Arabidopsis thaliana: one gene and its partner. The protein of the gene in region 1 purifies or fractionates together with the protein of each later gene. This does not show direct contact. Each region holds a gene or a part of one and is shown on either strand. Other genes may lie near its edges. The genes, in order: AT1G76550 and ALATS.

Region 1 (7,579 bases):
TCCATATAGTTACAGTAACATAGAACTTTTGTATGTATCTATCAAATAATCGTTGCCGCAGAAAACTGAATTTATCTACCATTTTATCAAACATTGCCTTCACAAAAAAACACTGATAAACTCAATCTTACCTGTCGTTTCTAGCTTCCTGAGCTTTAGACTTGAATCTTGAAGAATTCTCTACGGCTTCCTTCTTTTTCTCTTCTAATCTCCGCCGTAGAGAAACTCCTATTGAGCTATTTGCAATTGCTTTAACCGCAGTGAATGGAATCGCCGAGAAAACCAACACTCCGGCGAGCTAAAAACAACAGCAAAGTTTCAAAAAGAACGAGGAGAAAACAAAATGATGATTTCTAGTAAGAAGATAAATTCAACAAAAACCTCTTGCCACGAAGCTCTGCAAATCGAACGGGACTTTGTCACGGCAATTCTATTACGAGGCTTGGACACGAGAATCCTCGGAAGAGAATGAATTGACGAATAACTTGAGGAAAGTGATGAAAGCTTCTCCTGAAACAGTGCCATGGAATTTGGCTCACCGTCAAATCTTGATTTGGCTGTCTGTTTCACTCGAGAAGAAGAAAGCAGAGGTGAAGTTAGAAGAGCAAGAAGCGGTCTCTAATTTTCCACAAAAATTAAAAATAACCAAATTTTCAAAGTTATGGATCTGGCCACGTGTAATGATATTCGCCAGTTCTTTAAAAAGCCCGGACTCGGCGGATCCAGATTATAGGCCCAATTAAGTAACAGGCCACATCGTTAGATCCATAAACAATCAAAACAACCGTTTTGTTCCAAAGCAAAAGATCCAAAATGCAGAGTTTCATTCCAAATCAATCGGTGTAAGTGAACACGATGAACAACGGTTTCAATGGACGATTGAGATTTATTAATCAGAATCAGTCTCTGTTCTAAGTCCTCTGTTTTGAGATTAGCTACAATCATTAAAAACACGAAAACTCAAATTTTAGTCTTCGTAGATTCGACACTCGTCGGTCTCTGGATTCTCCTGGCAGAAACTCTCGAGCGGATCCTGATTCAGTAACTTCAGCTTGATCCTCAGATCTGCTCTGGCTTGACTCACTTCTTCAACTTCGTCCCACGCAACTCTACACTCCTCCGACATCTCTTCCGCCTCGCAAACCTCTGTCGCTTCCTTCACTTTCTCCTCTATCATCTCCGATAGTTTCTCCTCCCTCATCTTCGTCCCCATATACTTTGCCGTCGCCTTCGTCACCATCATCAGGCTGAATTGTCTCGGTACTGTTTCTCTGAAACGTAAAATATTTGATCCAGTTGAGACGGGCCGTCGCTCCCTTTGTGACGGAAGCAACACTCTCCCATGACTCGCCGTCGCCGAGCCCGAGATCATTTCTACGAATTTCGTTTCTCTTCTTCGTCTTTCAGAAAATTCTTTATTCACCTTTTATTATTAATGGTTTGGGCCGTTTGACTATAGTTATCGTAATTACAAATAAGCCCTCCAATCATCAATGTTCGATTGTCATTTCACGTTTTTTTTTTTAATGCGGCATTATCCAAACTACACTCATCAAACATTTGACTTTAGAAAAAAATATTATTTTCTTCTCATAAGGTAGTTGAGATAAGCACAATGCAAAGCTGACCCCTTTTACCTACTCCTTTTGTTGTTCTAGGTGTTCACCAACTTTGATGTCCTTTGTATCATCATAATCTTATGCTTTTATTATATACTCCTACTCTCATCGTAATATCAAAGCTTATTGTTTTTGAGGTCTTATCACACTAGGCCTATATTATGAAAATAACAATTACCATTAATATACCTAATCCCATCGATACTGACTGATGAAATTCAGTTGGTAGATCTTTAAATAATGACAGGCCTTTCCTACGGTCAACAGAGTAAATAAGAAGCCTTATTAAAAGCCCAAATCAGGTCAAATAATAAACAAATCCATTTTTTTAAAGATCCATGTGCATAATAAATATTTATTTTCGATGGGTAGTTTATCAATTATCAGGCAATAATAATACTTGGGGAAGAGGGAATGAGAGAGTCGTATCTTTTACTATATGTTTGCCTTTATTCCTTTGTAATTACCATGTAAAAGCATATCTCCCTATTGAATGCTATATTCCCCAATATTTCCATCTTCTTTTTTTTTCTCTCGCTATTTCCGTATTTACCCTTCACCTATCCTTTGGTGCTCATTCACTCTCCCTTTTAGCATATCATCATATCCTATTTTTTGCTTTTATTTTTTCTTAGTTTGAAAGTTTGGTCGCACTTAGGTGGGGAATTTGTCAACTCAAACTAAACCAAAACCTAACCGCATTTATAAACTAAACTTAAAACCAAACGTACACTCATACAGTTCGATAAATTTGCAGTCTAAAACCTTTTAAAACCCATAAAATATGAACACCAAACCGAATTAGACAATTTGGTCACTAACCAAACATTACCAAACCGAAAAAGGTAAGGGTATATATTTATATCCAATGGCATTTTCGTAAATAACCAGAATAACAAGGGCTGATCGAGAAAAAGCGTGGACTGAAAGAAAAAAAAGAAGAAGACCAAATTTTGGCTGTTTGGTTGATCGTATCGCCCAAGTCCCCCGCATACTATATAAATACTTTTGACGGGCCAAAGGAAAAAACTTTCTCTGAATCTTCTCTGAGTCTCTCTGACACTCTCACCAACCTAATTTCTCACAAAAACCTAAAAAGTTATCGCCCATGGATTCAGATTTCGGAATCCCCAGAGAACTCTCTCCTCTTCAACAACTCCGATCTCAGTACCACCCTGAGCTTCCTCCTTGTCTCCAGGTACTTCTCCTTCTTCCTTTTATTTGTATATTCGTATCTTCCTTAGATCTCTTGCTTCCTTCTCTCGTTCACTGTCTCCAATGTTTGGATCTCTATGTTTTTCATTGATATCATCTCTTCTGCTGTTTCGTTTTCTCACAATTTCGTCACGTCGCGAATATTTTGAATCCCTTCGAGCTGTTTATTTTGATTGTCTACTCGAGGAACTTGCAATGTTGTTTCCGTTCATGCAGATCTGTTTACACTGTTATTATAATCGGGATCTAGGGTTTATGATCCTTTTATACTTACTCGTCTGATTTAACATTTCAGTTTAGTGTGGTAGGTAGAATTGCCTTTCAACGTGAACTACCATGATGGAGTGATTTTCTGGAACAGTGATTGAATCGTAGTTTTTTTTTTGGTTGGATGATTCGTAGTTTAATTCGTTATTGATTCAATGTACATTACAGGGGACTACTGTCCGTGTTGAACTTGGTGATGGAACCACTGTGGCAAAGGCTGGTGATGCTCATATCATTGCCCGTGCCTTCCCACATACTCTAGGCCAGCCTTTGGCTCATTTCCTCAGGGCAACTGCTAAAGTTGCTGATGCTCAGATCATTACTGAACATCCAGTGAAGAGGTGTGCATGCATCTGCATATTTATAGATCTCTGGAATTTCTTGTTCTGTGGTTTTGTTGTTGGTTAGAGCTAGTTGTTTTCTATTGTAGGGTCGGAATTGTGTTCTGTGGAAGGCAGGCTCCTGGTGGGCACAATGTAGTTTGGGGTCTATACGAGGCTCTCAAAGTGCACAACGCGAAGAACACTTTGCTTGGATTTTTGGGTAAGTCCCTGTTTTTTATCTGTTAGTTGGTTTTCTTATTTCTGTAACTTCATTGTTTGCTTACTATAAAGTCACATCTTACTTCCGTATTGATGTGTGCCTGGTCATTAATATGAAACTTTGGCTACCTGTAACAGGTGGTTCTGAAGGTCTCTTTGCCCAGAAGACCCTGGAGATCACTGATGAGGTCCTCCAAACTTACAAAAACCAAGGTTGGTGGTTGGTGGTTTGATTAAGATTATTCAGAACTTTATCTCTGCTGCTTTCTGACATATGGCATTTAAATGTATGTCGTATTAGGTGGCTATGATATGCTTGGAAGAACCAAGGATCAGATTAGAACAACCGAACAGGTCAATGCTGCACTAAAAGCATGCACGGATTTGAAATTGGATAGCCTAGTTATCATTGGAGGTACCTACTTTTCCTCTTTTTCGGGTGTCTGTTTTAGTAGATGTTTTGTTCTTAACTTGTGTAAATATGATTTTTTAAGTTCATCCCAGAATTTTCTAAATCAATGTTTTTATTTGTTAGGTGTAACATCAAACACAGATGCCGCTCATCTTGCTGAATTTTTTGCTGAAGCAAAATGCTCAACAAAGGTCCTAATTTCTTCCCAGTTTTTCTCTTTCTTTGTCTGATCTTGTATCATGAATCACTTTAGTGACATTTGCACTTCACCTGATATCGCTAACAGCAGAAATTACCAATATGTTTCAGGTAGTTGGTGTTCCGGTCACTATTAATGGAGATCTTAAGAATCAGTTTGTGGAAGCAAATGTTGGTTTCGATACTACATGCAAGGTAACTTTGAAATCTAGCGCTTTTTTTTCTTTTACTTTGTAGGTATTGTAGCCAACATTCTTTCATTTCGCTCACCGTTCTTTTCAGGTTAATAACATTTTAACTCGTTATTTAGACTAATATCATTCTACTGTGTACAGGTGAATTCTCAGCTCATTAGCAATATCTGCACCGATGCCCTTTCAGCAGAGAAGGTAAATGTTGATTCCTTCCAAACGTTATCATGTTTTAGAAAGATTGCTAGGACACTCATAACCAACCTATATTTTGTTGGTTAATAATGTGAAATTTATTATGGTTTGATAATTGCGAAGTTGGGTTCCTTATGATTCTGTTATCAAATTTTCTTCTCAATAACATACTTTCCTCCGTATTGCCAGTATTATTACTTTGTCCGTCTCATGGGTCGGAAGCATTCACATGTTGCCCTTGAGTGTACACTTCAGTCTCACCCCAACATGGTATTCTTCCAAATTCTGAATATATTCAATCGATAGTCTTGGCAATGCTGCATCTAGTTTCTCATTTGCATTTGATGCGATTGTCTCAGGTGATACTGGGTGAGGAGGTTACAGCATCTAAGCTCACAATATTTGACATCATAAAACAAATCTGTGATGCTGTTCAAGCAAGAGCCGAACAAGGTCTGATAACTAAAACGAGCTTTTGGTATGTTGGAAGTGATGTCTTTTGCTTGTTCCCTAACTTTATTGATAAACTGTCTATTTGTATCAGACAAAAATCATGGAGTCATCCTAATTCCTGAAGGGCTTGTTGAGAGTATTCCTGAACTCTATGCTCTGTTGAAGGTAACGATTCAATACTGGCAAACATTTCTATTTATCATTTAATGTGCTATTTTTTATTGTTTCTTGAGTTCCAAAACATAGTAAGCATTTACATGTTGTTGTGCGATGCAGGAAATTCATGGATTGCTTAAGGAGGGTGTGCAGGTTGATAATATTTCTACTCAGTTGTCATCTTGGTCATCTGCTTTGTTTGAGTTTTTGCCTCCATTCATTAAGAAACAGGTTCTAATTCTTTGACATGGTACTTTTCTTTGTTTTTTCTCACATGTAAACGAGTATGTGTTCTTATGATAAATTGTCTTCTTTGTTTCTGCAGCTACTTCTCCATCCCGAGTCTGATGATTCTGCTCAGCTATCCCAGGTAAGAAGAAAGAAAATGATGGAGTTACTGTGCTATAAAAAGTTGGAATTCTAATTGCTCATTTACTTTCTTCTTAGATTGAGACGGAGAAACTTCTGGCTTATCTTGTGGAGACTGAAATGAACAAGCGCTTGGTATGTTGCACATCTTTTTCACTTGTCACAATCCATTTTTTTCAAATTTTTTTGAATAACCTTGCCTGAATATTCAAGTTGTCCCTAAAACTAAGTTTTGAAAATGACAGAAAGAAGGAACCTACAAAGGGAAGAAATTCAACGCTATCTGTCACTTTTTTGGTTACCAAGCTCGTGGATCTCTTCCATCAAAATTCGATTGTGACTACGCCTATGTATGTGATCGCCAAACTAAAATGCTATTGCAACTTCAATATTATGGACATTCACACCATTGATTATAACTTTGATGCAGGTTCTTGGACATGTATGTTACCACATCCTCGCAGCTGGTTTGAATGGTTACATGGCGACAGTGACTAACCTGAAGAGTCCTGTAAACAAATGGAAATGCGGGGCTGCGCCTATCTCAGTTGAGTTTTGTCTCTTATTTATAAGGCTAAAGTTGTTTAGTATATGTGTTGATTTCTGACTTCAAGTTTCAGTTTTACTGACCCCAATCTCTTTCTCTGTTTAACCTTAGGCAATGATGACGGTTAAGCGTTGGTCCCAAAATTCTGGTTCTACTACGATTGGTAGACCTGTAATTCATCCAGCTTCAGTTGACTTGAAAGGAAAAGCATACGAGTAAGCTTTTGTTCCTCACTCATTAGACAAAGATTAGAATGAACATGAAATCAAGTGATATAATTTGTCAAATGATTTTGCAGTCTATTGAGACAAAACGCGCAGAAATTCTTGATGGAAGATATGTACCGAAACCCAGGACCAGTCCAGTATGATGGTCCAGGTGCAGATGCAAAGGCGGTAAGTCTGTGTGTAGAAGACCAGGATTACATGGGGAAAATCAAGAAGCTGCAGGAGTATCTTGATCAGGTGAGGACGATTGTGAAACCGGGTTGCTCTCAAGATGTTTTGAAAGCGGCATTGAGTGTTATGGCCTCGGTGACTGATGTTCTCACTACGATCTCATCTTCTTCCACCAGCGGTCAGCAATTTGCTTAAAGATTTTTTTATTGTTTTGGTTTTCCCTTTAACCATAAACTTCATTAGCTCTCTCTCTCTCTCTCTCTTTCCATTTTGAAGTCGTCTTCTGATTTACGCAAACTTTATTGTTCAAAGTTGAGTTTAGGAAAAGGATATTCAAAGTTAAAGGATTTGAGTAATGCTTTTTTAATGAAGAAGTCTGTGTTTGGGTTCACTAATCTTCTTGTTGCCTTCTCGATCATAATTTGTATATGGTGCGACCAAATCAAAGTACCTACGGATATATATGACAAGTGGACACAAATGAATAAATGTAAAAATTAAAATTAAATACTATAGTACGTGGCAAATTAAAAAAAGGCGTTTATGAAAAGACCGCTCCTCCACGCTCCAGTTTGAATTTCGAAAAATCAGTCCGTTGTGAAAGCCCAAGAATAAGGATTCTATAATTTCAGGTCTCATTTAATTATATAACCTATCTACACTTTGATCTCCGACAATTCACTTTCCCAATAAGAACCAACTGAGAGAGAGAGAGCGCCGGAGAAGAAGAATTTTAGAGAGCGATGGACGAGGGAGTTATAGCAGTTTCCGCCATGGATGCTTTCGAGAAGCTTGAGAAAGTTGGTGAAGGGACATACGGGAAAGTTTACAGAGCCAGAGAGAAAGCTACCGGGAAAATCGTCGCTCTAAAGAAGACGCGTCTCCATGAGGACGAAGAAGGCGTTCCTTCCACCACTCTCCGCGAGATCTCCATTTTGCGAATGCTCGCTCGTGATCCTCACGTCGTCAGGTTAGGGTTTTACCTCTGATTCGATAAAATTGCCCCCATATTCTCGA
Region 2 (8,413 bases), about 10 Mb from region 1:
CGATGATAATTTGGAGTAATGATGGTAATTTGATCAAATTGTGTTTGGCTTTTTGGTGTGTCCATTTGCAGAGATATATTGCTTTTTAATAACGAGAAAAATGTTATTTAATACCCTAATTTTCAAATTATAACCGTTTTATACGTCAACTTTATATATGGTCATTTTAAACATGATGTTATCGTTGACCACCATTTAAACCATGAATATTTCGTTGACCAGGCCAAAAAAAATAGTCGTTAACGGATTATTCAACTCCCGTTAACACCTCCGTTAACCATTCTAAACGATGTCGTTTTCGTTACTATAAATCATGTTTTACCCTTTTATAAGCTTTTAAAATCCCTTGTAAATCATTCCAATGCCACTTACTTATGCTTAAAAAAACATTGTAAACCATGCTAGCCCTTTTTAAAAATCCTTGTAAATCATTTTATGCCACTTACTTATGCTTTAAAAACGATGATAAATCATGTTTTACCTTTTTATAAGCTTTTAAAATCCCTTGTAAATCATTCAATGCCACTTACTTATGCTTTAAAAACGATTGTAAATCATGTTTTACCCTTTTATAAGCTTTTAAAATCCCTTGTAAATCATTCAATGCCACTTACTTATGCTTTAAAAACGATTGTAAATCATGTTTTACCCTTTTATAAGCTTTTAAAATCCCTTGTAAATCATTCAATGCCACTTACTTATGCTTAAAAAACGATTGTAAACCATGCTAACCTTTTTTAAATCCCTTGTAAATCATTTTATGCCACTTACTTATGCTTTAAAACGATTGTAAATCATGTTTTACCCTTTTATAAGTTTTCAAAATCCCTTGTAAATCATTCAATGCCACTTACTTATGCTTAAAAAACGATTGTAAATCTTGTAAAACTATTGTAAAAAGTTTTAAAATGATTTACAAAGGTTTAAAAAGGGGTTTTAAAGTATTTACCTATGTTTTTAAAGACTTTATAAAGATTTTAAGAGGTTTTAAAATGATTTACAAGGGTTTTTAGCAATTACCAAAGATTTTAAAAAACTTTACAAGGTTTTTTAAAAGAGTTTTTAAAAAATTTACAAGGATTTTTAAAAGCATTTTTTTTGCTGGGAAACAAAATTTACGAGAAAAAATTTTGGCGGGAAATTTATTTTTGGCGGGATTTTTTTTTTTTTGGCGGGAAAAAAAGGTTTGGAGGTGTTCTTCAATGAATAGGGGTGCTTGATGAGGCTTGTATTAAATGGTAGAAGTCCATGGAGAAATCGAAGTGTTCAAAATCGGAGGTGTTCTTCAATGGAAGCTTTACTATGGAAATGTTTTGTTTCGTTAAAGATGAAGAAGAAGAACTTTAAGCGTATATAAGTATCTGTGTTTGTATAGAATGACAGAGAAATCTTTGCAGGTAGAGTGGTCAAATGACCTTTGATTTTTCTCAAATGATAGGGGTTCGAATCCCAGGTCTGTCATTTCTTTTTAAAGAAAAACGAAAACGACGTCGTTTAGAATGGTTAATGGAGGTGTTAACGGGAGTTGAATAATCCGTTAACGACTAATTTTTTTGGCCTGGTCAATAAAATATTCATGGTTTAAATGGTGATCAACGATAACTTCATGTTTAAAATGACCATATATAAAGTTAACGTATAAAACTGTCATAATTTGAAAGTTGAGGTATTAAATAACATTTTTCCCTTTTAATAACTGTAACCAATATGTAACAGAAATCCATCCAACCCAATTTGATCAATAGCGTAAAAACTCATTATTGTTATAAAATTTTAGGTAGTTTACATCAAAATAATATCATTCATTTTTTATACTATAAAAATAGTATTTAGATTAATATTTAACAAGAATAAGAATAATTTTTATATATAGATCATATCAATCCACATAATAAAAAGAGAAAAACTCAAATATGAAAAAAATTCAAGTAACAAAAATATATTAGAATTACATTTGGTTGATTGGAAAAAAAAAAATTACGTGTAAAACTATAGTATTATCTGAGAAACGAATACAAAAATTTGCAACAGTAGCAGCAAAACAAATTCAAAACTTGCGGCAACGACAACAGCAACAACAACAACGAAACAAACAATAACATGCGAGGCAGTCTCACGGCTAGTGGCAGCAAACCCAACAGTTTATCTAAACGAGAACCAAAATTTACTCTCGTTTTTTTTTTAATGTTATCCTTTGATGAACAAAATGTATTTTCCAAATTTTACTTTTTTTATTTTTTAAGTATTATCCCTTAAAATAATATATCTTGCGGAAAAGGAATCGGATTAAATAAATTTTAACGGTAGAAAATAGGATAGGAGGAGAGAGAGAAGGTCTTTTATTGGTTTGAATGAGATTAGTGAAGGCAGCTTCTCTTCTGATTTCTTCAACCAAACCTCCGTCTAGGGTTTTTTACTCTTCCCATCTCCGCCGCCCTTTTTTCTCTCACTTCCGTTTTTCTTCCTCTTCGTCGACGTCTTCCTCCGTCGCAGTCATGCCGGGTTCCGAACCATCGGAGACTCAGTGGCCAGCAAAGAGAGTCCGGGATACTTATGTCGATTTCTTCAGAGGCAAAGGCCACAAGTTCTGGCCATCAAGCCCCGTTGTTCCTCATAATGATCCTACTCTTCTCTTCGCTAACGCTGGTACGATAACTTCGATTCCTCATATCTGTTTTTGCCGATAAGATTGGGAATTTGTCCAAGTTGATCTATGGAATTCAGATTCTATAGAGTTGACTTATTCTGTCTTCTTTTGTCTTTGAAGCTTTGGGACTTATTCAAATTTCTCAATTTCAGTTTTGGTCGAAATTTTCTGATATTGATACTGAGCTATGTAAATTAAGTTCTCTTGATATGTCTGGCGAAAAATAGAATTATTAATGACATTGAAACTTCTCTGTTTTTCAAGGAATGAACCAGTATAAGCCAATATTTTTGGGTACGGCCGATCCAAATACTGAGCTTAGCAAGCTATCTCGGGCATGTAACACCCAAAAGTGTATTCGTGCTGGTGGAAAGCATAATGATTTGGATGATGTCGGCAAAGATACGTACCATCACACCTTCTTTGAAATGCTTGGTAACTGGTCCTTTGGAGATTATTTCAAGAAGGAAGCTATCGAATGGGCTTGGGAGCTCTTAACCAAGGTAATTAAATACCTGGGAAATTTGTCTCTGTTTACTTGATTTAAGAAAAATATACATGGTATTATTCAGTAAACTATTGTCTCCCTCCCTTGGGACGGTATGTCTCAATTTTGTTAAGTGATTCTTCTCTTTTCATTTGGTTGTACATTTCAGTTTTGTAAAGTGATTCTTCTCTTTTCATTTGGTTGTACATTTCAGTTAGATACCTTGTGACAGTATTTCATAATTTTGTAAAGTTACTATTCTCTTTTCGTTGAGGTTGTTTATTTCATTGAGGTTGATACCTCCCTGTTTTCATGCCTCAGGTCTATGGGCTACCGACTGATCGAATCTACGCTACATATTTTGGCGGTGATGAGAAAGCTGGCCTTCAACCTGATAATGAGGCTAGGGATATATGGTTGAAGGTTCTTCCATCTGGACGTGTGCTGCCATTTGGTTGCAAAGTATGTATTGATTATTTAAGATAATAACTTTTAATCTGTTACCTAATTTTTTTGAATCCACTACTCATTGATTTCCTCTCTCCTGAGGTTACTTCACAAGTACTTCAGCTAAGTTGCCTTTGTATTGTCACCATTGTTTCTTGTATATATTGACACATCTGTTTGTCAATGCTAACGACAACCAACTGTAAGCTTGAATGCATTTTGGCTAGGAATACGCTATCATGTTTGGTAGTTGGCAGGCTTTAAAAACCATTGTTTATGATTTACAGTCAAAATCTTGTACAAAATGTAAAACTTAAGGGTTTTTAAATGCTGTTTTTCTTTCATTTAACTTTTGATTAAACTGCAGGACAATTTCTGGGAAATGGGCGACACAGGTCCGTGTGGACCTTGTACTGAAATACATTATGATCGCATTGGTAACCGTGATGCTGCATCCTTAGTTAACAATGACGATCCAACATGTTTAGAAATATGGAATCTTGTCTTTATTCAGGTACAAACCCTCTCTGTCCCAATTGTTATTTAGTTCCATTTTACTAATCTTTATCTCAATATCACAATTGTTTTAATGATTTTGTAGATTGTGTTACTGAAAACTCTATATTGTGCAGTTAGCTAGATTGTTATTGCTCCTTTAGCTGTGCTATCATATTCCCAATTGTTTCCTCTGACTGGGATGTTACTTATGTCTTCAAAATAGTTCAACCGAGAAAGTGATGGCTCGCTAAAACCTCTGCCTGCTAAGCATGTTGATACCGGGATGGGCTTCGAGAGGTTGACTTCTGTTCTTCAAAACAAAATGAGCAACTATGATACAGATGTGTTCATGCCTATCTTTGATGACATCCAAAAGGTAATTTGTGAAAACTTCTGTTGATGGTTTCATGACAGCTGTTTAATGATGGTTTCATTGAGTTATTTTTGTTTGGCCTCCTCTTAGGGACGCATTTGTCACCTTAATTAGTACTATCATCATTTTAGTTCATCAATTTTGAAGTGGATCATGGGTTCTATGCTTTACGTCGAGACTCCGTCAATTGTTTTTGAATATTTCTGGTTTATTGAATTTGGATTTCATGATAAAGGCATTCTACTATGGGTATCCTGGAGATTATTCGTTGTTAGCTGTGTCACTTTTCATGTATTTTTCTTAGTGAGAGGATTGAAAAAATCTTCAAATTGCTCTGTTTACCCTAGTTGTTGCGAATCTTAAGTTTAGGTGTTGATGCTTTCACTTTTTTAGGCAACGGGAGCTAGGCCATATTCTGGAAAAGTTGGTCCGGAAGATGTTGACAGAGTTGACATGGCATATAGAGTGGTTGCTGATCATATTAGAACCCTATCATTTGCAATTGCGGATGGCTCTCGTCCTGGTATATACTTGGTTTCTTGTCTCAATCACAATTGTGGTGGTTACAGAAAATACAATCGTCTTAGTATTCAATCATTTATTTGAGTTCATACTTATATGTTCTCAGAAAAAGTGTTTTTGGTTCATTTATTCTAAGTTGGGCATGATGAGTTTGTCAATTTTCTTCCTCAGACAATCTGTTATGTTATACAAATAGAGGTTTGTTATTTCTTGTAGTCTAACAAGTACCAATTAATATACTATCTCTTGCAGGTAATGAGGGCCGTGAGTATGTTCTGCGGCGTATTCTTCGTCGAGCGGTTCGCTATGGAAAGGAGATCCTAAAAGCTGAAGAAGGATTTTTCAACGGGTAGGAAATTATGTTTGATTTTCGTTGCATGTTTTGTTTGAATATTGTTTCAAATATTGTTTCGTTGTAGCTGGAACGTTTATTTCTGTCTTGTATCTTTATAAATGAGCATATTTTTTTGACACATGTTTTATCTCGGGCTTTCATATTACCTGTAGGCTTGTAAGTTCTGTCATTCGGGTGATGGGCGATGTCTTTACAGAGTTGAAGGAACATGAGAAAAAGATCACAGATATAATTAAAGAAGAGGAAGCAAGCTTTTGCAAGACCTTGGCAAAGGTAAGGGCTGGATTTAATTTCCGTCAAAGCTTTGAACCTCTTATCTTATTTTGTTTTGGGTTCTTCTGGCTCGTCGCACTGAAGTAAAAGAGACAGTTCACAGCTTCAATCAGTGGCATGTGATATTTCTGTATAGATTGTTTCCAATTTCATCATTGTTCAGTTTTAATGATGGTTAGACATAATTATAGTATTTTCTATAGGGAATCTTTTTTCTGAAAGATGAATTGGCTTTACCTGGTCGTTCCTCCCTTTTTTATGTGAATAGGTGGTGAGTATAAGAACAGTTAGACTGATTATAAATTTTCACGGCAGGGAATTGAGAAATTTCGGAAAGCTGGACAGGCGGTTCAGGGGAATACACTGAGTGGAGATGTACGTATCGAATCATTTTTGTGATGTATGTTAGGCGTTGCAGTATTTTCATCTGGGATGTTTGAATTCTATCTCAACATGTTGTCTTCTCTTTGCAGGATGCTTTTATCTTATGGGATACATATGGTTTCCCGTTAGATTTAACTCAGGTACGTAAGTCATTTATACTTATTTCTGAATGTTCGTGTTATTTTCTAACTTTTATTCTCGGGGTTCAGTTGATGGCTGAAGAAAGAGGGTTACTGGTTGATGTTGATGGTTTCAACAAAGCCATGGAAGAGGCGAGGGAAAGATCGAGAAGTGCCCAGAATAAGGTGTTTCAACTTTCCTCTTGTTTACTTTCTTAAAGAGCGTTTAATGCCAAACTTACGTGTGACTATGAACGAAGTTTGCAATCACATCATCTATTAACCAATCTTTTAATGTCATTTTTTTATAGCAAGCTGGTGGTGCCATTGTTATGGATGCTGATGCTACATCAACATTGCACAAGGCTGGTGTTTCAGCAACAGATGATTCTTTTAAATACATTTGGTTCCAGGTTTGTCCTTTTATTCCAGAAAACTTGCATGTTGCACCTGAAATGTTCTTATGTTGGCGTAGAAATGAAGAAGTTAGGGCATATAATAGTAAATGGATTTTGCTTTAAAGAAACCTTTATTGGTACTCTGCCACATATCGCTGCAGGACCACGAGAGTGAACTAAAGGCAATCTATACTGGCTCTACTTTCCTAGAAAGTTCAGCTGCTAGTGATAACGTGGGACTAGTATTGGGGTCTACAAGCTTCTATGCTGAGCAGGGTGGTCAGGTAATCCATTTTATTTGATATGTATTTTAGTTTGCTAATTGTTTTTCATTTCTGATCATATGACTGGTGGCATGAAATTGCAGTCTTCAGTATGTTCATCTTGGATTTGTATATATATACAAATGTAGACATGGCAGTAACACCATGAACACAATCATATCAGAACTGCATTGTTTGAATTTATGTATCGGCTGGCAAATACCATGATATAGTTATTGTTGGTTTTGCATACTAATTTCTGAAGTTGTCGTTGACAGTCACATAAATATTTTTAGATTTCATATCCATGAACAAGGTTAAGCTTTTGATTCACTTCCAATCATCTATATGTATATAAACTCTGTGCCTCTAACATTTTTTCTCTGGCAATAGATTTTTGACACTGGACTTATAGAAGGCTCGTTTGGGACATTCAATGTATGCAATGTACAAATATTTGGGGGCTTTGTTCTTCACATTGGTTATCTCTCTAAAGAAACTGGAGAGGTATCTGTGGGTGATAAAGTGATTTGCAAGGTAACTCTCTGCATCAAACAGTGTTTGTCTCATTCACCATATTTGGTACTATCCAATTTGTTTCCACCTTCGTTTTCATGCGTATAGGTTGACTATGAGAGGCGTAAACTCATCGCTCCTAATCATACTTGCACACATATGTTGAATTATGCCCTGAAGGTATCCCTTTTCTATAATTTAAGTAACCTAAACTGTGATTTTCTAATTTTTTCTATTGGATCTGAAAATATTCATGTCCCATGAATTCAGGAAGTGCTCGGGGATCATATTGATCAGAAGGGATCAATTGTTCTTCCTGAAAAACTGCGATTTGATTTTTCTCATGGTACATTTTTGAATAAAGTCATTTTTATTTTGATGTGGATGGTCATCTTAATTGTCTGATGGGTTCCATAATTTCGAGTAGGCAAGCCGGTTGATCCTGAAGATTTGAGAAGGATCGAATCCATAGTGAATAAACAGATCAAGGATGAATTAGATGTGTTTTCCAAGGAAGCTGTGCTTTCTGAAGCCAAGCGCATCAAAGGTCTAAGAGCAGTGTTTGGAGAAGTAAGCTGTCCATCAGTTCTGTAGCTATACCTTTTTAGTTTGGTTTCTAAGAATTGTTAAAGCGTTCTCTCTTACTCTTTTTAGGTCTACCCCGATCCCGTCAGAGTGGTGTCAATTGGGAGGAAGGTTGAGGATCTCTTGGCTGATCCTGAAAACAATGAATGGTCATTGCTTTCTTCCGAGTTTTGTGGAGGTCTGTTTCCATTGGCATTAGCTATTGGGACCAAGATATTACGTTCTGAATAGAATGTTGAGTATAGGGTTATTTTGACAATTCCAGGAACCCACATAACAAACACCCGCGAAGCCAAAGCATTTGCTCTTCTATCGGAGGAGGGAATTGCTAAAGGTATTCGTAGGGTAACTGCTGTGACTACTGAATGTGCTTTTGATGCATTGAATGCGGCGTCCTTACTTGAAAGAGAAGTAGAGGATGCCTCCAGAGCGGAGGGAAGTGCATTGGAAAAGGTTTTCTCCCTCTCTTTGTCAAACTATTGACAAAATGAAGACGATGTCGTTACTTGGATTCACGTAAAACTTATTGTGTTTGTATTTGCACAT

Evidence for each region.
Region 2: the proteins of AT1G76550 (region 1) and ALATS fractionate together in Arabidopsis thaliana (co-fractionation; one large-scale study listed by BioGRID). This does not show direct contact.

The regions. Positions count from the first base shown.
Region 1 is NC_003070.9:28,722,078-28,729,656, reverse strand, and holds AT1G76550 (Phosphofructokinase family protein), read left to right. Parts: upstream 1-2,545; 5' UTR 2,546-2,727; coding exon 2,728-2,817; intron 2,818-3,269; coding exon 3,270-3,442; intron 3,443-3,531; coding exon 3,532-3,644; intron 3,645-3,781; coding exon 3,782-3,856; intron 3,857-3,944; coding exon 3,945-4,058; intron 4,059-4,178; coding exon 4,179-4,246; intron 4,247-4,364; coding exon 4,365-4,448; intron 4,449-4,588; coding exon 4,589-4,642; intron 4,643-4,828; coding exon 4,829-4,909; intron 4,910-4,998; coding exon 4,999-5,092; intron 5,093-5,183; coding exon 5,184-5,257; intron 5,258-5,368; coding exon 5,369-5,479; intron 5,480-5,573; coding exon 5,574-5,618; intron 5,619-5,695; coding exon 5,696-5,752; intron 5,753-5,862; coding exon 5,863-5,967; intron 5,968-6,047; coding exon 6,048-6,164; intron 6,165-6,275; coding exon 6,276-6,379; intron 6,380-6,462; coding exon 6,463-6,757; 3' UTR 6,758-7,000; downstream 7,001-7,579. Other genes in the region: AT1G76570 (Chlorophyll A-B binding family protein), read right to left, coding at 132-298, 382-525; CP12-3 (CP12 domain-containing protein 3), read right to left, coding at 968-1,372; CDKB2;1 (cyclin-dependent kinase B2;1), read left to right, coding at 7,306-7,532. UniProt on the Arabidopsis thaliana protein: Regulatory subunit of pyrophosphate--fructose 6-phosphate 1-phosphotransferase.
Region 2 is NC_003070.9:18,592,250-18,600,662, reverse strand, and holds the start of ALATS (Alanyl-tRNA synthetase), read left to right. Parts: upstream 1-2,183; 5' UTR 2,184-2,351; coding exon 2,352-2,646; intron 2,647-2,911; coding exon 2,912-3,150; intron 3,151-3,455; coding exon 3,456-3,596; intron 3,597-3,948; coding exon 3,949-4,095; intron 4,096-4,302; coding exon 4,303-4,455; intron 4,456-4,845; coding exon 4,846-4,975; intron 4,976-5,226; coding exon 5,227-5,323; intron 5,324-5,481; coding exon 5,482-5,602; intron 5,603-5,917; coding exon 5,918-5,977; intron 5,978-6,075; coding exon 6,076-6,126; intron 6,127-6,195; coding exon 6,196-6,291; intron 6,292-6,416; coding exon 6,417-6,518; intron 6,519-6,664; coding exon 6,665-6,787; intron 6,788-7,159; coding exon 7,160-7,303; intron 7,304-7,390; coding exon 7,391-7,462; intron 7,463-7,552; coding exon 7,553-7,628; intron 7,629-7,709; coding exon 7,710-7,852; intron 7,853-7,936; coding exon 7,937-8,045; intron 8,046-8,132; coding exon 8,133-8,320; intron 8,321-8,413.